Linked DNA regions of Coturnix japonica. The protein of the gene in region 1 purifies or fractionates together with the protein of each later gene. This does not show direct contact. Links are inferred from orthologs where the notes say so. Each region holds a gene or a part of one and is shown on either strand. Other genes may lie near its edges.

Region 1 (8,002 bases):
GTAACTTAGGAAGCTACACGTGATACCGGACTGTTTTTTTCTTAGATTTGTACAGAATAAGCAACTGCTCTTAGATAAAAAACAGTGATGCTGGAACAGAACATTCAGGAAACTGAATCAAATACATGATAAATGGCCTTAATGAGAAGAATTAGAAAGCTGTGGTAAGAGAAGTTGATATTTACATCAAAAGATGACATTTATTTAAATGCTGCCTTGCACACAGACACAGAACTGTGTGCTAGCATACTTGTTTCTCCATAATTTTCAGTACAGAGGGAATTACTGTAGATTCAGAATACTTGCACCTAATGAGCACAGTGTGACCTAATCAGATCATGCAGTAGACTTAGGATTTAAGCATCATTTGTTTCTAATGTTTCTGCAATTTCAGCAGCCCAAAAGTACTGGAAGTTGTTTATCCTTACTGAAATTCCCAGGCAGAATTTAAAAGTCACAGAAACTTGGAGGAAACGTCACCTTATAAACAACATCTGGCATGAAAGAACAGACGATGCTGCTGTTATACAAACGAGGAAATTCCAGGTAGAGCTGTTTTAGGGCATCAACCGCCTGCCAGTGAGAGATACACACAGATGTTACATTTACAAACACACATAAGATTTACTTCACCCTGCAAAGTCATTTTGATTCTTTAAAAACACCTTCCTGTTTTGTGTAGTAAGTCTGATGTGGTGGCTGGCAATGCTGCCCATGGCAGAGGGTGTGGAACTCTGTGATCTTTTATGGTCTTCTCCAACCTCAGCCATTCTATCATTCCATGATTATGATTCTGTTTAGGAATGCTACTCATTGCTCTGATGTTTGAAATACCCTTACCTTACCCTTAAGAACTACCTAAGGCTTAACTCAAAGGGAAGAAATAATTTATTTCCATATTTTGCTAACTTGCATAAAATGTTTATGATAGCTCACCTGTATCTCCCTTCAGTAACACAAATTAGAGATGACTGGAGCCCTAGCTGGAATGGAAGAACAGATACTGGGTTCCCTCAGCACAGACAGGGAATTTGCTTTGCTTTGTTGTGATGCAAGTTGAACTCAACAGTCACGAGTCAGTTGAATTTTAAATTTTCCAGGACAAAGGAATGGGATGAGGGAACACAATGTCTTTATTTCTGATAGTCCAGCATTGGGTGATGCAAACAGCAGCCCCATTTTTACTCATGTTAGAGAAGGCACTTTACCACAGAGACCAGCTTGAGACCAACAAAAATAGGCTGAAAACCCAAAGAAGGGGCTGTAGGACAGTAAGTGGTACCTGATTCGCGTGGCCTTTGACATCAAAGTAGATTGTAAGATTGTGCTGCAAAGACTCCACTACAGCTTCTCTCAAAGTTGGTACCTTTTCGCTCTGGAATTTGCTCCTGTAGAAACAGAGCTGTCCTTTGTGATGTGGTTTTGAGATGCACCGCACACACACACATCCCCAACTACACAGAGCTGTTTCCTGGGGATTCCTAAACACAGTCAAGTGAGACACTAACATTAGGGGTTAAGCACCACCAGCAATGGCAGCAGCAGCTTTCTGATGCTGTAAAATGCTGCACAGATATAAGGATCTCTCTTCCCAGAATCCCACAACTACACAACTCTGTCCTTCCAAATTCAAGCTCTAACTCAATGCTTACTGACCCCACTGAAAGACTGGCCTCAGTTTTTCATCTCCTTTAACAACAATAAACATGCATTCAATCCCAGATGTGACCATCTATCCTCCCACTTCATCCTGCTTCAGTGGTGTTTCCTAGCACCGATAACACAGATCCTGACAGAATAAGCAAGACAAGCTGAAGCTGCAGGAGAAGCAGCTTCACGCAGCAAGACATTAATCCTGATGGGTGACTGCAGCTGCATTAGTTCTCACTGTGGCAGTGACAGACTGGGAAGATGCTGCTTGTACCGCCAAGGGGTCTGTGCTACATGTTTCATTTACCACAGCCTGTGTTTTGCAGATGGATTAAGCTTCCGAATCTCATCAAAAGTCATGTCACACAATCTTCCAGACCCATCAGTTGTCCTTTCTACTGTCTCATCGTGCATTAGAATGGGAACGCCATCCGCGGTAAATTCAAGATCCAGTTCAACACCTGTTGCTCCATTTTCAGCTGCCTTAAAAGAAGGAAAAGATCATCACACACACAACAGATAACGGCTTTCAGTAACAGGTAATGGCTTTCAGTAACCGATAACGGCTCACAGCGCTGCTGGGCGCTCTCACCTGTCTGACGGCCCCCAGCGTGTTCTCGGGGGCGTCGTGCGCTCCGCCGCGGTGCGCGATGCGGGCGGGGCCGCCGCGGGGCCGCAGGACTTGGCGTGCGCTGTGCGGGGGGGCGGGCTCCAGGCTGAGGACGTGCAGCAGCACCAACGGAGCCGCCGTTAGTACGGCCAGCAGCACCGGGCTGCGGCTCAGCGCCAACAGAGCGACCAGCAGCGCCGGCACAGCGCACAGCAGCGCGGCACCGCCGCACAACATGGCGGCAACGCACCGACTGCGCCGGACCGAGGGCGCTCAGCGCCTCAGAGAGAGGGCGCCGGTGTTGCCGTCCCGTTCAGCGCCGCCGGGCTGTGACCGGGCCGTTACCGGGCTGTGACCCGTCTGTCCGCCCTCGCGGCTGCCCGACACCCCGCACGGTCACGGACAGACTGGGTTTAGCCCCGCCCGAGCTCCACACACCGACCCGCCCCTTCCGCGCTCGTCTGTGTGTCGCGGTGCCGCTGGGGGCCGTAGTTCCGTAGTCCCATAGTTCTGTAGTTCCGGGGCTGGGCGGTTGCCGGGCTGCAGGCGGCGCCGAGCGCCCTGCGCGGTACCGGGCCTGCCGTCCTGCTGGGGCCGGGCGCGGGGCTGGGGAGGAGGCGGCACGAACCGGGCGGGGAGCGGGGCCGGGCCGGGCCTGCGGGCTGCCGTGCTTGGAGCCGCCCCTCGGGCTCCTGGCGACACCGGGCTGCGTTTTGTTGTGTTGGTGGGTGTGTTGGTCTGTGTTCGTACACAGGGGTAGGAAGGAAGGAAGGAAGGAAGGAAAGGTTGGTTCGCGGGGACGAGGCTGTCAGCCCTGTGGATGTTGAGGCAGCTCTCGGTTACTTCAGCTCGCTGACTGGCAGCGTGTCTGTCATTGTGCTCCTGTTCTGTTGCGCTTCATAAGAAAACTGGCTTTTGCCGCTATTGCTGTTGGTAGGAAGAAAGCTCAGTTAATTGAGCTATTTGACGTGGGGTTTATTTCCCATATACAGCGTGGAATTGGTCGTGTTGTTTTTCTTTCGTGGCCTTGGAAACACAATAGGGTATGTTTATTATCCGTGCTGTTTTAGCTGCGTGAAAATGGAGGACTACGAAACATTCTGCAAGCAGCATCTGTCCAGAATCCAAGAGGCAACAAAAGGAGAGAACTCACCCGCTCTGCTGGACAGAAACGTCTCCCTCATTCAGTTCCATGGAGTTCCAGTGCTCTCCCCTCTGGTAAGGTGCTTTTTAATCCCCTGTAACATTAACTGTGTCATTGGCTTTGATGTCTGTGTGTACTGACTGTATTGAGAGCACAGCTCCATCTGAGGTGTTCTGGCCTCTGCTAAGTGCATTTGGAGCATCCCTACCTTTCAATTTATAAGCTAAAGGAGTGATTCTTTAAATTTCTTATTTTTGCAGTGTGTGTTTGCTTTCATTTCTTGATATTTGTTGTCTGCGTGAGGAGAGTGAGAATATTTGTAGTGTTAAATTGGTGACTGTTAATGCTGTGCTCAGCTTTGTGCAACAGCACATCGACACTACAAGCATTGAGTAACATGTGAGCTGTTGATGGTCTGTATCATAAAGCAACCAGCTTCTTTGCTTCGGTGTTGGGAAGTATGGACGGAGAGTGTCCCTAACAACAGTCTCCAATGACAGGATATGTGTATGTTTGTTTAAAAAATTTAAAAAAAGGAATTTGTTTAGAAAGAATCTGTCTATTTAAGTGCACACCAAGTTTCAACGTTGGTGGGTTTTGTTCCTTTTTGTTTTTATTTCTGTAGTTCTATAATGTAACTTGCATTTAGTGGTATAAACTTTGTCTCTCACACTCTGTTCTGCAGCTGAACTTTGAAAAGAGAAAGGAAATACAGCAGTATCGACAGAAAGCGCTGGATCTAGAGACATGGAGACAGAGCTCCCACAAAAGAGCCTTAATGAATCGTGTTCAGGAGATTCTAGAAAACATTCAGGTAGGATTTGGACTAACTCTTACAGCTTTAAAGGAAACGTCTCCTTGTGTGTGTTTTGAGAAAGGGCTGGGGTTTAGGTATTCACTAATACAAATCTGAAATGAATAGCAGTTAACTTACAAGAACCAGCATTCACTTAAGGTTAAGGCAGTGCTCATTTACGTACAGGTAAAACTTGCAGTAATCTGGAAATCACAGATTTCATCCAAGCTACGTGATATTTTTCAACTTCTACTTGCAGAACAGGAAAGTATCTGGTACAAGTGACGTGAACGTTCAGGATGCTGGGAATACCTGCCCTGATGCAGACTCAAAAGCTTTGACTGATCTCACAGCTCTGTCAGATGCCAGCTTGCCACGTTCTGAAAGGCATTGTCCTGTGCAGACTGAAAAAAGCCAAGAGCTTTTGCCATCGGACTCTGTGCAGCGAGTGACATCAAATGCAACAGAAGTAGGTAAACCAGCGGAAGAAAATGTTCCTTCAAAGGAAAGTGAGAGTCACTTCTCAAGAGATGTTCCTTGTCCAAGGGCTGCGTCTCCTGACGTTGTGCAGAGTAAACTTGTGTCCCCTGCTTTGCAGAAGCAAGAGGGACAAGGAGTGCCGTCATCTGAGAAGGAAGCCCAAGATCCATATGCAGTGAGCCTTCAGAACCTGATTAAAAAGTCTAGGGAGTATGTAGAGAAAGAGCAAAGCAGGCGTAGCTCTAAAAGCAGTTCAAGGAAGAGTATGAATGAAAGCCATTCAGATAAAGAAAATGATGCAGTTAAAACATCGGACTCTGTGAAAGAGAGAGCAAAGGTTACAGGCAGAAGTTCCACTGCTCTGCCACTTGATAAACCGTATCTTAAATCAAATACTCATATTCAAGGTGCCTCTACTCATACAAGTAACACAAGTATGTCAACTTTATCCAGTTTTTCCAAAGTGGATATACCTATGAGAGTTGGGACACCCCCGTTGGTGGATTCGGATTCAGATGAAGAATTGAAAAATCCTTCCGCCTTTGATCGCGACAGCAGCATTGTCAGGAGCCTCACGGGGTCGTACAGCAAACTGCCGAGCCCGGAGCTAAGCATGAGTCCAAAAATGCACCGGAGGCGCCCAAGGCCTTTATCGATGGGACACATAGTTATAAACAACCCTGTGAATGCTTATGAATTAAGTCCCAAAGGCAAGGGTAGAGCAATGGATTTAATTATGCAAGATATTGCTGATAAGAATAACATATCTGAGTCAGTGCCGAAGTTCATGATGGACTTTAGTATGCTTTGCCCCAGCAGAGTTCCTGGTGTCATCAGGAGTTCTTCAGGTCCTTCTGATGGGCTGCTGGCTGGCAAACCAAACAGACATTCCTTTGGGCACTCAGAATGCAAAGGGGCATTGTCTGCTGCAGTGGAAGGGCAGGTAGTGATGGACAACAGAGGACCGTATAAAGTAGAGACTGGTACCGTGGGTCCAAAACCGATTGAGCCATTCTCCACCCATCAGTCTACAGTAACACAGAAGCTCCTAACTGTGAATGAGACCAAAGCATCCAGTTTGCAAGAAAATACTAAATCTCCAGTAGAACTCAATAAATCTTATGATGTAGAAAGCCCGTCCCCACTACTGATGCAGAGCAAGAGTATGCGCCAGCAGATGGATCCAAGTGTTCCCCCAGCAAACGAACAGATTCTAGAGAACAGCTTTGAAAAGGTAAAACGTAGACTTGATTTGGACACTGACAACTGCCAGAAAGACAGCAACCCCTGCGCTGTAACTGTTGGAATGGAGGAACAGGAGAAGCAATGGCTGCAAGAGCAGAAATGTCCCATGGCATCAGTTTACATTACCAAGAATGCAGCCCCTGATTCAAATATGGCAAAAGGTAAAAGATTTCCAGTGTTTGTTTTCTAAACTTCTCGGTTTAGAGAATCTTCTAGGGAAAAATGATTTTTTAAATATTCTAATCAATCTTATTAAAATTAATGCAGCTTTTAATATTATAATTTATTGTAAGATTAAAAATTATAATTGTTGGTGATTCTAAGTACATATCTATCAAAAGGCAGAAGTGTTATTCTGGCAGTTCTCTTTTTTTCAGTAATCTCATCTAATTTTTAATTAATGACCAATTCTGAATTTCAGCTGCTACCTGAGCTGTGCTTAATGGCTGCACAACGGGCTAGTTGCTCGTTTACAATTCACTCATGGAAAGAAGTCTTACAGCCCTCTGTAACAAATCCTTCATTAAATACTTTATGAAGAAGCATCAGATGAAACGTTTCTCAGTTTTGTGGATTCTCTGTTTATTCTCAGGGATATCACTTTAGGCAAAAACAAAAACCCAACACGTTCTCATTTGAATGTAGAAGTTTGAACTTAGTTTTACTAATATAATTTCTTGTTCTCTTAGATTTAAGTAAGACTACTAAAATGAATTAAAAGAGAACACCTTTCAGCAGCAAGGTTGCAAATGACTATATAGGTGCTTTTGTCATTTCAAGACTGTGTTACATTTGTGTCTTATCAAGTTAAACCAAAGTGACATTAATAATTTTAGTTTACTCAGCAAGTGTGGGTATTGTGTTCCCAGATCCAGATGTTTTACATCCTTATTCTAATACAGTCTCCATTGGTGTTACTGCTGTTCCATCCACATACTAATCCCACAAAGAGGAACGTGCAAATATTCTGAAGGACTGTTGTAACTGAAAGGCTTCTTTGCGATGCATAATGGCAACTTGATATAAAAAATGTGCTTTTTATTGAAGATGGAAATTTCTCTTTTGAAGCAAATATATCTGTGACAAAAGATCACATAGAAAATATTTAATGCTTCATTCTTTGTAATGCATGTGTCTTCTCAGAAGAGATTTTAAAGACTAAAATGTTGGCCTTTGAGGAAATGAGGAAGAGACTCGAAGAACAGCATGCACAACAGCTGTCAATTCTGATAGCAGAACAAGAGCGGGAGCAGGAGAAACTGCAGAAGGTAAAGCAGAAAGAGGAGAAAGTCTGAGCTGAAGTCCTGTGTGTTTGTCAGGATGCAGATGGTTTTGAAATATACATTTTGTTGTGTTGCAGACAGAAAACAAGTCTTACAGCTGATTTTTTCTTTCATAGGAACTGGAGGAACAGGAGAGGAAGGGAAAGAAGATCGCTACAACAGAAATAGAAATATCCAAAGTGAATATTAACAGTAGGATGGAGTTGGAGTGGAGAAAAAGTGAAAGCGGCTTAGTAGAAAGTGTGCAATCTCAGCTGGAGACAATCCATAATGCAAACTCTACAAGCATTGGTAAAAACTGACTGCTAAAATTAAACTGAGGGTCAGATACAGATTAAATGTGGTATATTTTGCTCTGCAGTATTGACTGTAGCAGCTGCCCTGTTGTGCTGGTAATGATGGTGCTGCAGTCATGGGTCACCTCTCACCTGTTCAATAAAATTCAAAATGTGTTGTTTTTTTTCCCATTGGCTCACCTAATTTTGAGTAGAAATGAATTAAATATTCAGATTGCTTCTTTCCTGCTGTTGACTTTGTACAAACAGCATTGCTCCCTCTGAGCAGAGTTCTCTCTTGCCTGTTTTAACTTCTATTCCTCATCAAGCACAAATGGAAAATTGGTGTTTTAGCAGGTGAGGAGCAGAGGATCTTTGAGAGTAAGACTGCTAAGCTATGTGGTTTTGATTATTTATGACTCATCTCTAGGGATCTACGTTGGCAGCATCAAACGCTTCAGAAGCACTTTCTTTGAGATGCTTTATGGATGAGATTTTTGTAGAGCAACTTTAATATTA
Region 2 (8,126 bases), on another chromosome or scaffold:
TGAGCAGAAAAATATCTTGCGAGACTTTGGTCTGGTTTAAGAAAACGTTTCCTAACCTGGCACAGTTCTTCTCATTGTACTTCTTTGCTTTGTTTGAATCATTCTGTAAAACTGACCCAGGGTGCCTGAACCATCTGCACACAGAACTGCAACTACTGACGAGTGAGCTCAGAACGGATGCACGTACCTTTATAAAAGGTGATCTGATCTGCAGAACTACAAGCTTCTTCGAAGGCAATGAATACACTAAAAGGAGAAATAATAAAGCTTTTTAACAAGAAAGAAATCTGGGCTTTACAAACCTGAGGATAACCTGAGAGTTATCAAATCCAATTGCTGGAAAACCTGATTGCTGTTAAAAATAGCTCTTTATTTTTGTGCAATGTCTTCACTGGACTTAATTTCACTTTAATTTAATTAATTAAAAAATTTAAAAAATCTTAATTTCACACAGATTCAAAGGAGTGAATGAAGCAGAACATAAGATCTGCCCCCTTATGATGATTCAGGAAATTCTTCTGTGCAGCTTTACGAAGTTTATGAAAGATTATTTTGAAATTTCTATGATTTAAGAGCATAAAATAGAAGAGGAATTAAAAAAAGAAAGAAACGCCATAACTGAGGTGGAGCAAAACCCAGTGAATTTAAGGGGGAGGAACAGCACAAGGGGGAAAAGACAAACACAGGAGGGAAGTGAGAAATCCCCTTCTACACCAGAACGCAGCTTGCATTCCTGCACCTAAACTATGAGCACACTTCATGTTGCTTAGGATTAAAATTGTTGGGAGTTTTGGCTGCACTGTAACACGATTGTGAGCCAGCCAGCATTACTGGTTGCATATGTCAGACTGGTTATCAAAAATAAAGTAAGGCCTACTAACGGTTTCCTCTGCAAGTACAAACACATTCTTATTTCTAAGAGACTTAGTTACTGAAACTGTTACTAAGGACTTTAGTTTAAGCACAGTCCCCATAAGCAAAATATAACAACAAAAAAAGTAAATGCAACCTTTTTTGCTCTGTATGCTTCTTGCAAACACCACAAGCATTTAGTACACACCTTCAGCGTTTATGCTCAGCTCCATTGAGTTCTCCTTTGTTGTTGCATAAGGATTATTCCCCACCATCGGCACCAGGCAGTCGGTGTAGAAGTAGCCCACTTTAGGCATGCGAAGTGTGGAGATCACCAGATCTACTGCCAGCTGGCCAACGTTTCCTACCGACACTGCTGGCTGAAGCAACAGAAGTCAATGGATTACAATGTGCTTTATAGACAAAATGCTCTCCAAACAGTGAAGGTACAAGACATTTCATTTCTGACTAAATGTGATTTCTTTAATTGACAGCTCATTTTCAGACAAAGATGACCATCCCTTAGGTTGGTCACCCAGAATCACACTGGTCACTTCTGTGAATAACCCTGTCTCTCGCTGTAAACTTGAACAAAGGTTTTGAAACTTTTTTTCCCCCCATATATATATATATATATATATACATATATATATATATATTTTTTTTTTTGGGGGGGGGGGGGGGGGGGGGGGGGGGGGGGGAGGGAGTGGGGAGCATAGAATTGGCAAGTCGCTCTAGAACGCAGAGATTGACAGACCTCAAGTGACACCTAATGGTAACGTTGATATTACACACTCAACTACAAGTCTCAGCTTGAGCAATAGGTAAGAATGAGGCGTCTTCCAGCGCCCTGGTTTCGGCTGGGATAGATTTAATCTCCCAGCAGCTGGTGTAGCAGCGTGTTTTGCATTTCAGGTGAGCCCAGCGCTGTTACCACACTGCTCTTTTGGCTGCTACAAAGCAGCGCTTACAAAACTAAGGCCACTTTGGCTCCTTGTGTTGCCCTGCCAGCGAAGTGCTGGGGGGCCAAGGAGCTGGGAGGGGGAGGAATCAGGGCAGCAGACCCAGCCTGGCCCAGGGGACATCCCATGCCATAGAATCACAGAATGACCCGGGTTGGAAGGGACCTCAAGGATCATGTAGTTCCAACCCCCTGCCTGGCAGGGATGCCATGTGGTGAAGTGCTCAGCAACACAACTGGGGGAGCTGGCTGGGGGCTGCTATTGCCTGGGCATCGCTTAGAGGGTGGTGAGCAATTGCAGCGTGCTTCATTTATTTACGTTCTTCTCTCATTATTATTTCCCCTTTTCTGCCCTACTGTCAAACTATCCCAGCCCACATGTTTTACTTCCCTTCCGATTCTCTCCCTCACCCCCTGAAGGTGTATGTAAGCCACGAGCCGCAGGGATGGGACACGGAGGATGGTTTTAAGCTAAAATGGGAGAGATTCCGGTAATAGGAGGAATCTCCTCACTCAGAGGGCGGGGAGGCGCTCTGAAGAGAGCTGCGGGTGCCCTATCCATGAAGGCGCTCAGGCTGCAGCCCCCCCGACCTCCGCCCCCCGACAACCACTCACCATGAGCAGCGTGAAACCCTCGAAATCGGGGCTGCCGCCATCGCAAGGCACGAACATGCCGGCAAGGCCTGACGGAGACATGGATGCCACAAGGCAACGCGCAGCTCCGCCCGCTTCCCGTCCCCCTCACGCCGCGGCCGTTGGGGCGGAGCTCCTCCCGCCGCCATGGCGCTGCCGCCGGGTAAAGGGTCGGAGCTGAAGCAGCTCATCCAGCAGCAGCTGCTAAAGGTGAGCTGAGACACACGGTGTTTTGCATCCTTGATCGTGTGGTGCCGAGGGGGGGAGGAAATGGGCATTGTCTGCTTTTGTGCCTTAGAGAACTAAGAAGCGGCCATCCGAAGTTTTTAGTTCTTTGTCCCCCTCAGAAGTCAGACGGGAAGCTGTTGGGTTTGCAGGTTTAAGGCGCAGAGCAGTGAATGCGTTCAGGCTCGTTGTGCTCATAACGTTTTTAATTGGTAGAGCTGCTTTAGGGAGGCAGTATGACTTCTTCAGCTGGCTCTTATTTAATCCAAGAACTCATGGGCTCTATGTGCAGAAAGTACTGGCAGTCCTACAGGATGCTTCTTTAGTTGTAACTGCTGTCAGGAACTTCTATCTGCAGCTTGTAAGAAGTTCTCTTTCAGATGGATGTCCATGGAAGGATCCGAGAAGTTCTGGCCGAGACGATACGTGAGGAGCTGGCGCCTGAGCATCGGCAGTTATCCACGGAGGATCTGATAAAAGCCTTAAGACAGCGAGGAATCATCGATGATGTTATGAAAGAACTTAAATTTGTCACTGTGAGAACCTCTTCAAGTGTGAAGATACTTTGCTTATTCCTCTTAACTGATGTGGTGTCTTGTCCAAGTTCTAACACACTAAAAGCATAGAATCACAGAATAGCTTAGGTTGGAGAGGACTAACCCCCTGCTATGAGCAGGGCTGCCCTCCACCAGCTCAGCTGCCCAGGGCCCCATCCAACCTGGCCTTGAGTGCCTCCAGGGCCTCCAGCTTCTCTGGGCAGCTGTGCCAGCGCCTCACTGCCCTCTGAAATAAATTCTTCCTTCTATCTCATCTGAATCCATCATATTTCAGTTTAAAGCCATTGCCCCTTGTCATAACTCTATGCTCGCTGACGAAGAGTCCTTCACCTATTTTCCTGTAGACTCCCTTTATGTACAGGAAGGTACTATTTCTAGTAGTTCAAAAAGGCTTTAGTGACTTGTGATGTTTTAGGACAAAACAGTGTGTGCTGTATTTGGTGTAGTGATAATACCACAGTGTCAGCGTTTGCTCAGTTTTTGTTAAGTCTCACCTATTAGCAGAGGTTGTACAAGAGGAATAACATTTGATTGGGAAGGAGAATGCTTTAAATTATAGAAGGTTGAGGGAAGGCTGCTGCTGCCTCAATTAACACCTTAAAAATTCTTTATTGTGATTCCAGGATGTGAGTGGAAAGGAGAGGGCTTCATCTCCAAAACCATCAACACATTTTGTTGATAGAGAGCCACCGGTTATGAAAAAAAGTATGTTGCTCATTTGTTCTCATATTTCTGGGTTGTAGTTTTGATAGAAATGTCAAATGTAGGATTATTGATCTTGGAATTAATAATACAACATGAACTGGATTCGTTTAAAGCCTCCAAAGAGGAGAAAAATATGTCTTGCTTATCTAAAGGATGTAAGTTTGACTGATACAGATTCAAGTTTTATGTGACGTTCATGTTTCATTTATTTTACGTTAAAATAGCATCCATGTATTTTAGAATCACTTTCTCCTAGGGACTTATATACAAAAACTTTATTATTTCTTTTTATTTCTCTTCTCCTGTTGGTTAGCTGATGTTTAACATGCTTCCTGAGATCTGTTTGTAGTCTCTTCATTTTTGTTGCTACGCTTTACAGCTAACATTGACCCAACACGAAGGTATCTTTACCTTCAGGTTCTGGGTGGAAAAGCTTTTCTGGAACATCTTCAGGAACCGGATCCTCTGCCTGGCCAAATCTGTTCTACTTTTACACTATGTCTTCATTTCCGAAATCAGCGTTTCCGTTCTAAACCCGTTCCCTGTGCTTGTGAGCCAGATTTCCATGATGGTTTTTTACTTGAAGTTCACAAGGAAAGCCTAGGTAAGGAACATCATGACTTTAAAGCTGATGCTATGTTGTTTCTTTTCATAGAATTACCCAGGTTGGAAAAGACCTTGAAGATCATCAAGTCCAACCACAGCCTAACCAGAACCCTAACTCTAAAAACCCTACACTAAATCATTTTGCTTTGTTTCACTGGATTTCTTTTTGACTTTATAGTTATTCCAAAACAGGTCTGAAATTATGTAGTGTGTTTCTTTCCTATTTATTACTAAAATTTTTTGTAGGGAAATTGATGACTATTAGATTTCACTTCTAGATCCTTCTCTATTCTTACCTTGTCTTTTCTACTCTGAAGTTACTGCCATGGTCCTGGGCTTTGGGTGTTCCTTCTTGAGCAGGGGTTAGGCCAGCTGACCTCCATAGGTCCCTTCCAACCTTGAGCATTCTCGTGAAGGTGGATAGCAATTTGTCACCATGCAGAAGGAAAAACTTTACTTTGAGCTCAGTTTGCTATGAGTTGTTCGATGACTGACTTCCACGGTTATCTGTCGCCTCTATTGCCTTTCTGCCGTTGGTAGCCAGGAAATGTGGTGGCAGATGAATGTTATGAGAAGAATTCTGGAATCAATAGTGGTGTATAATAAATAGACCTGAAGCATTCCATGTTTTCAAGAGTGCAGTTATTTACCTAAAAAGTAGTATTATTTTAAGGAGGACTTGGGGTGATATTCTGGCTATTTAATGTTGCTTTATTTCTGGCAGGTGATGGAAGTAAAATGGTGGATGCAACAACTATGTTATCTGTATGTGATCCAGTGCATATGGTTCTGATCAAAACAGACACGTTTGGTGAGACAACGCTGGTAGCGTCCTATTTCTTGGAGTGGCGATCTGTCCTGGCTGCAGAGAATGGCATCACAAATGTTGCTGTTGAACTCCTGGGTGTAGGTAAGAATAACTAATGAGCATTTAACGATGAGTTAAAGTATTGCGTACTAAGTTTGATTAGAAGCTTAAAGTAGTATTTATGGTTTGGTTTGATTTCAGTTCAGCTAATCAACTCATGAATTACTTTAAGGTATCAACTCATGAATTACTTTAAGGTATCCTTAAGAAGAGTTTATATAAAGGACTAATGGTCAGATTTTTGTCTTATCAAAGTGTTAAGAATGTGTGTTCCAGATCCTGTGCAATAGTGGTCCCTGTACCTGGGAGCCTCTGTTATCTCCAGGATGTGGGTAAACTATCAAAACAAACATAAATCAACAAATGCGTCTCCAGGAAAAATACCGTGTCAGTGTTCTCAAGTGTAAAATCTAGCTTGTCCTGTGTAGCAGTTATGATCCTGCTCTAACCACAGTGATCTGAGCAGTGAGTTGTACATTCAGTAACAATGGGCACTTGTACACTGTGGCTCTTCCAGTCTATTTGTAGGTGCCTATTCTAGCCCTTACAGAACAGCATTCATCTTGTATGTTCTGGTATCACCTGGAAAGAGGCCCTTAGGGCTCAGATCCAGTTACCAGCTTCTTTAGCCAGGTTATCATTCCTTTCATTCTTGAGTAGAATATTTCAGTGAAGATCTTTGTGTTGTATGTACTTAGAGAAGTTTATGGGGTTTTATTTTTATGATGGTATGATTAAAACTATTATTTGTTCTGTGTCAAATGAATTTGAAAGGACTGATAGGAATGTATTTTGGTTCAAAGGTACAGAATCAAAGGTTTCTGTCGGTGTTTTGAACATCAGACTTGAAATGTATCCACCACTTACTAAGACTCTGTCTCCAGAAATAACAAGCACTCAGGTAAGTAATATGTAGGGGGTGAGGGATGGCCTGTTCTTTTATCAGCAGGGGGGATGCACACTGTACAGTTATTTATGTAGATAAAGGGTCGGTTACTCTACTTGAAAAGCCAGTAAATGGTGGCCCAAAGGTGTTACAGATATTATTCCACACTTAGCAAGGTGAGTAGTCCTTCTATACAGATATGCGTCACTGAAGATGAACACTACTTCAGTCAAGCTTGATATATCAGCCTACAAACAAGAAATGTAAATTGAGTTTTACATTCATTGGATTTTCACTTTAAAATACTATTCTTTAGCATTGGTTGCATGCTGTCATATTAAACTTCATTTTTCATATGCAAGGATCATGTGCTAGTATGTATATTGATTACTTTTTGTTCTTGTTTGGAATTATTATATGTGTGAATGGTTGTGTGTATTTTCCTACCTGTAGTTTACTTTGGAACGTCAGAAGACAGCAGAAAAAGAACGTTTATTTCTTGTGTATGCTAAACAGTGGTGGAGAGAATACCTGCAGATCAGGCCTACACACAACTCAAGGCTGGTAAAGATTTTTGCACAGGTTTGTATATTTTACAAATACACCAATCTGTTCTTCAAGGTGTTTTTTTTAGTCTTAGCTGCATGTTTGAAGTTTGTGTATGTAGAATTTGTATAGATTTATGATGTGGTTAGATTCCATTCAGGGCTACATGTGATACAGTATGCTGACAATGAAGTTTTCAAGACTTGAACTATGTATACTGAAGCTGAAGAGTATGTTTCATAGAGAAAGGCTGCTCCAAGCACCCCTGGTGTAGGAGGTAGAAAAGCCATTTTAGTCTTTTCCTTGAATAAGTACAAATGGCAAATGCTTAAGTGATCTATACAAACTATTGCAGACAGGTTTTATACAGTAATAAGTAGTGGAGTTACTGGATATACTGGAGCAGATCCATATAATATTTGAGCACTCTGTGGTTAATAAAGTAATCTGGCTGGTGAATGTTGCATGGTAGTTACAGATGTGAACAAATCATTGGCTAGTAAGTTACTGTGTTGTAACTTACGTCACAATCACATCAGTTGTTCCTTGGTGACTGCCCCTCAGTAGTAGGAATGGTATGGGACTATAAGGACAGGCTGAGGGAGCTGGGCTTGTTCAGCCTGGAGAAAAGAAGGCTGCAGGGTGACCTCATTGCAGCCTTTCAGTACTTAAAGGGAGCCTACAAACAGGAGGAGAGTCAAGCCTTTGAAAGGGTAGATAACAGACAGCCAAGGGGAAATGGTTTCAAGTTGAGGGAGGGAAGATTTAGGCTGGATGTCAGGGGGAAGTTCTTTGAGAGTTGTGAGGTGCTGGAACAGGCTGCCCAGAGAGGCTGCTGATGCCCCATCCCTGGAGGTGTCCAAGGCCAGGTTGGATGGGGCCCTGGGCAACCTGGTCTACTATTAAATGGCAAGGTTGGTGGCCCTGCCTGTGGCAGGAGATTTGGAGATTCTTGATCCTTGAGGTCCCTTCCAACCTGGGCCATTCTGTGATGCTTTGTGTTTATCATGCTAATATATGAATTTAACTTGTAGAGCAGCAATTTTCCTGGCACAGATGATGAAATAACTTCCGGAAGCAATCCACACCTGCTGTTTGTCTTCAGGGAAGTGAGGTCTTCTCTTCTGGCTTCACCAGCTGTGTACGGGAGTAGTGTCAGCTTCCACGTAAGGGTGTGGTGCATTCATCTCACTGCTGAACACACCTGGTGCAGCCGGAATGGAAGCTTCACTGGAAACTAACAGTAGATAATGGATTGCTTTAGGAAGTTTTAATAGTACTATTATT

The links. The genes of interacting proteins can lie anywhere in the genome.
Region 2: the proteins of CCP110 (region 1) and CEP76 purify together in Homo sapiens (co-immunoprecipitation; 4 studies listed by BioGRID and IntAct, with this or other methods). This does not show direct contact. The link is inferred for Coturnix japonica from reciprocal best matches to the Homo sapiens genes CCP110 and CEP76.

The regions. Positions count from the first base shown.
Region 1 is NC_029529.1:8,221,269-8,229,270, forward strand, and holds the start of CCP110 (centriolar coiled-coil protein of 110 kDa), read left to right. Parts: upstream 1-2,739; 5' UTR 2,740-2,828; intron 2,829-2,857; exon of another isoform or gene 2,858-2,984; intron 2,985-3,027; exon of another isoform or gene 3,028-3,045; intron 3,046-3,330; 5' UTR 3,331-3,340; coding exon 3,341-3,478; intron 3,479-4,089; coding exon 4,090-4,218; intron 4,219-4,459; coding exon 4,460-6,086; intron 6,087-7,068; coding exon 7,069-7,193; intron 7,194-7,324; coding exon 7,325-7,499; intron 7,500-8,002. Other genes in the region: GDE1 (glycerophosphodiester phosphodiesterase 1), read right to left, coding at 481-573, 1,283-1,388, 1,958-2,133, 2,243-2,497.
Region 2 is NC_029517.1:87,448,813-87,456,938, forward strand, and holds the start of CEP76 (centrosomal protein of 76 kDa), read left to right. Parts: upstream 1-2,559; 5' UTR 2,560-2,593; coding exon 2,594-2,656; intron 2,657-3,051; coding exon 3,052-3,207; exon of another isoform or gene 3,208-3,223; intron 3,224-3,851; coding exon 3,852-3,933; intron 3,934-4,312; coding exon 4,313-4,537; intron 4,538-5,263; coding exon 5,264-5,449; intron 5,450-6,210; coding exon 6,211-6,308; intron 6,309-6,746; coding exon 6,747-6,875; intron 6,876-8,126. Other genes in the region: PSMG2 (proteasome assembly chaperone 2), read right to left, coding at 188-246, 1,061-1,232, 2,429-2,509. UniProt on the Homo sapiens protein: Centrosomal protein involved in regulation of centriole duplication. Required to limit centriole duplication to once per cell cycle by preventing centriole reduplication.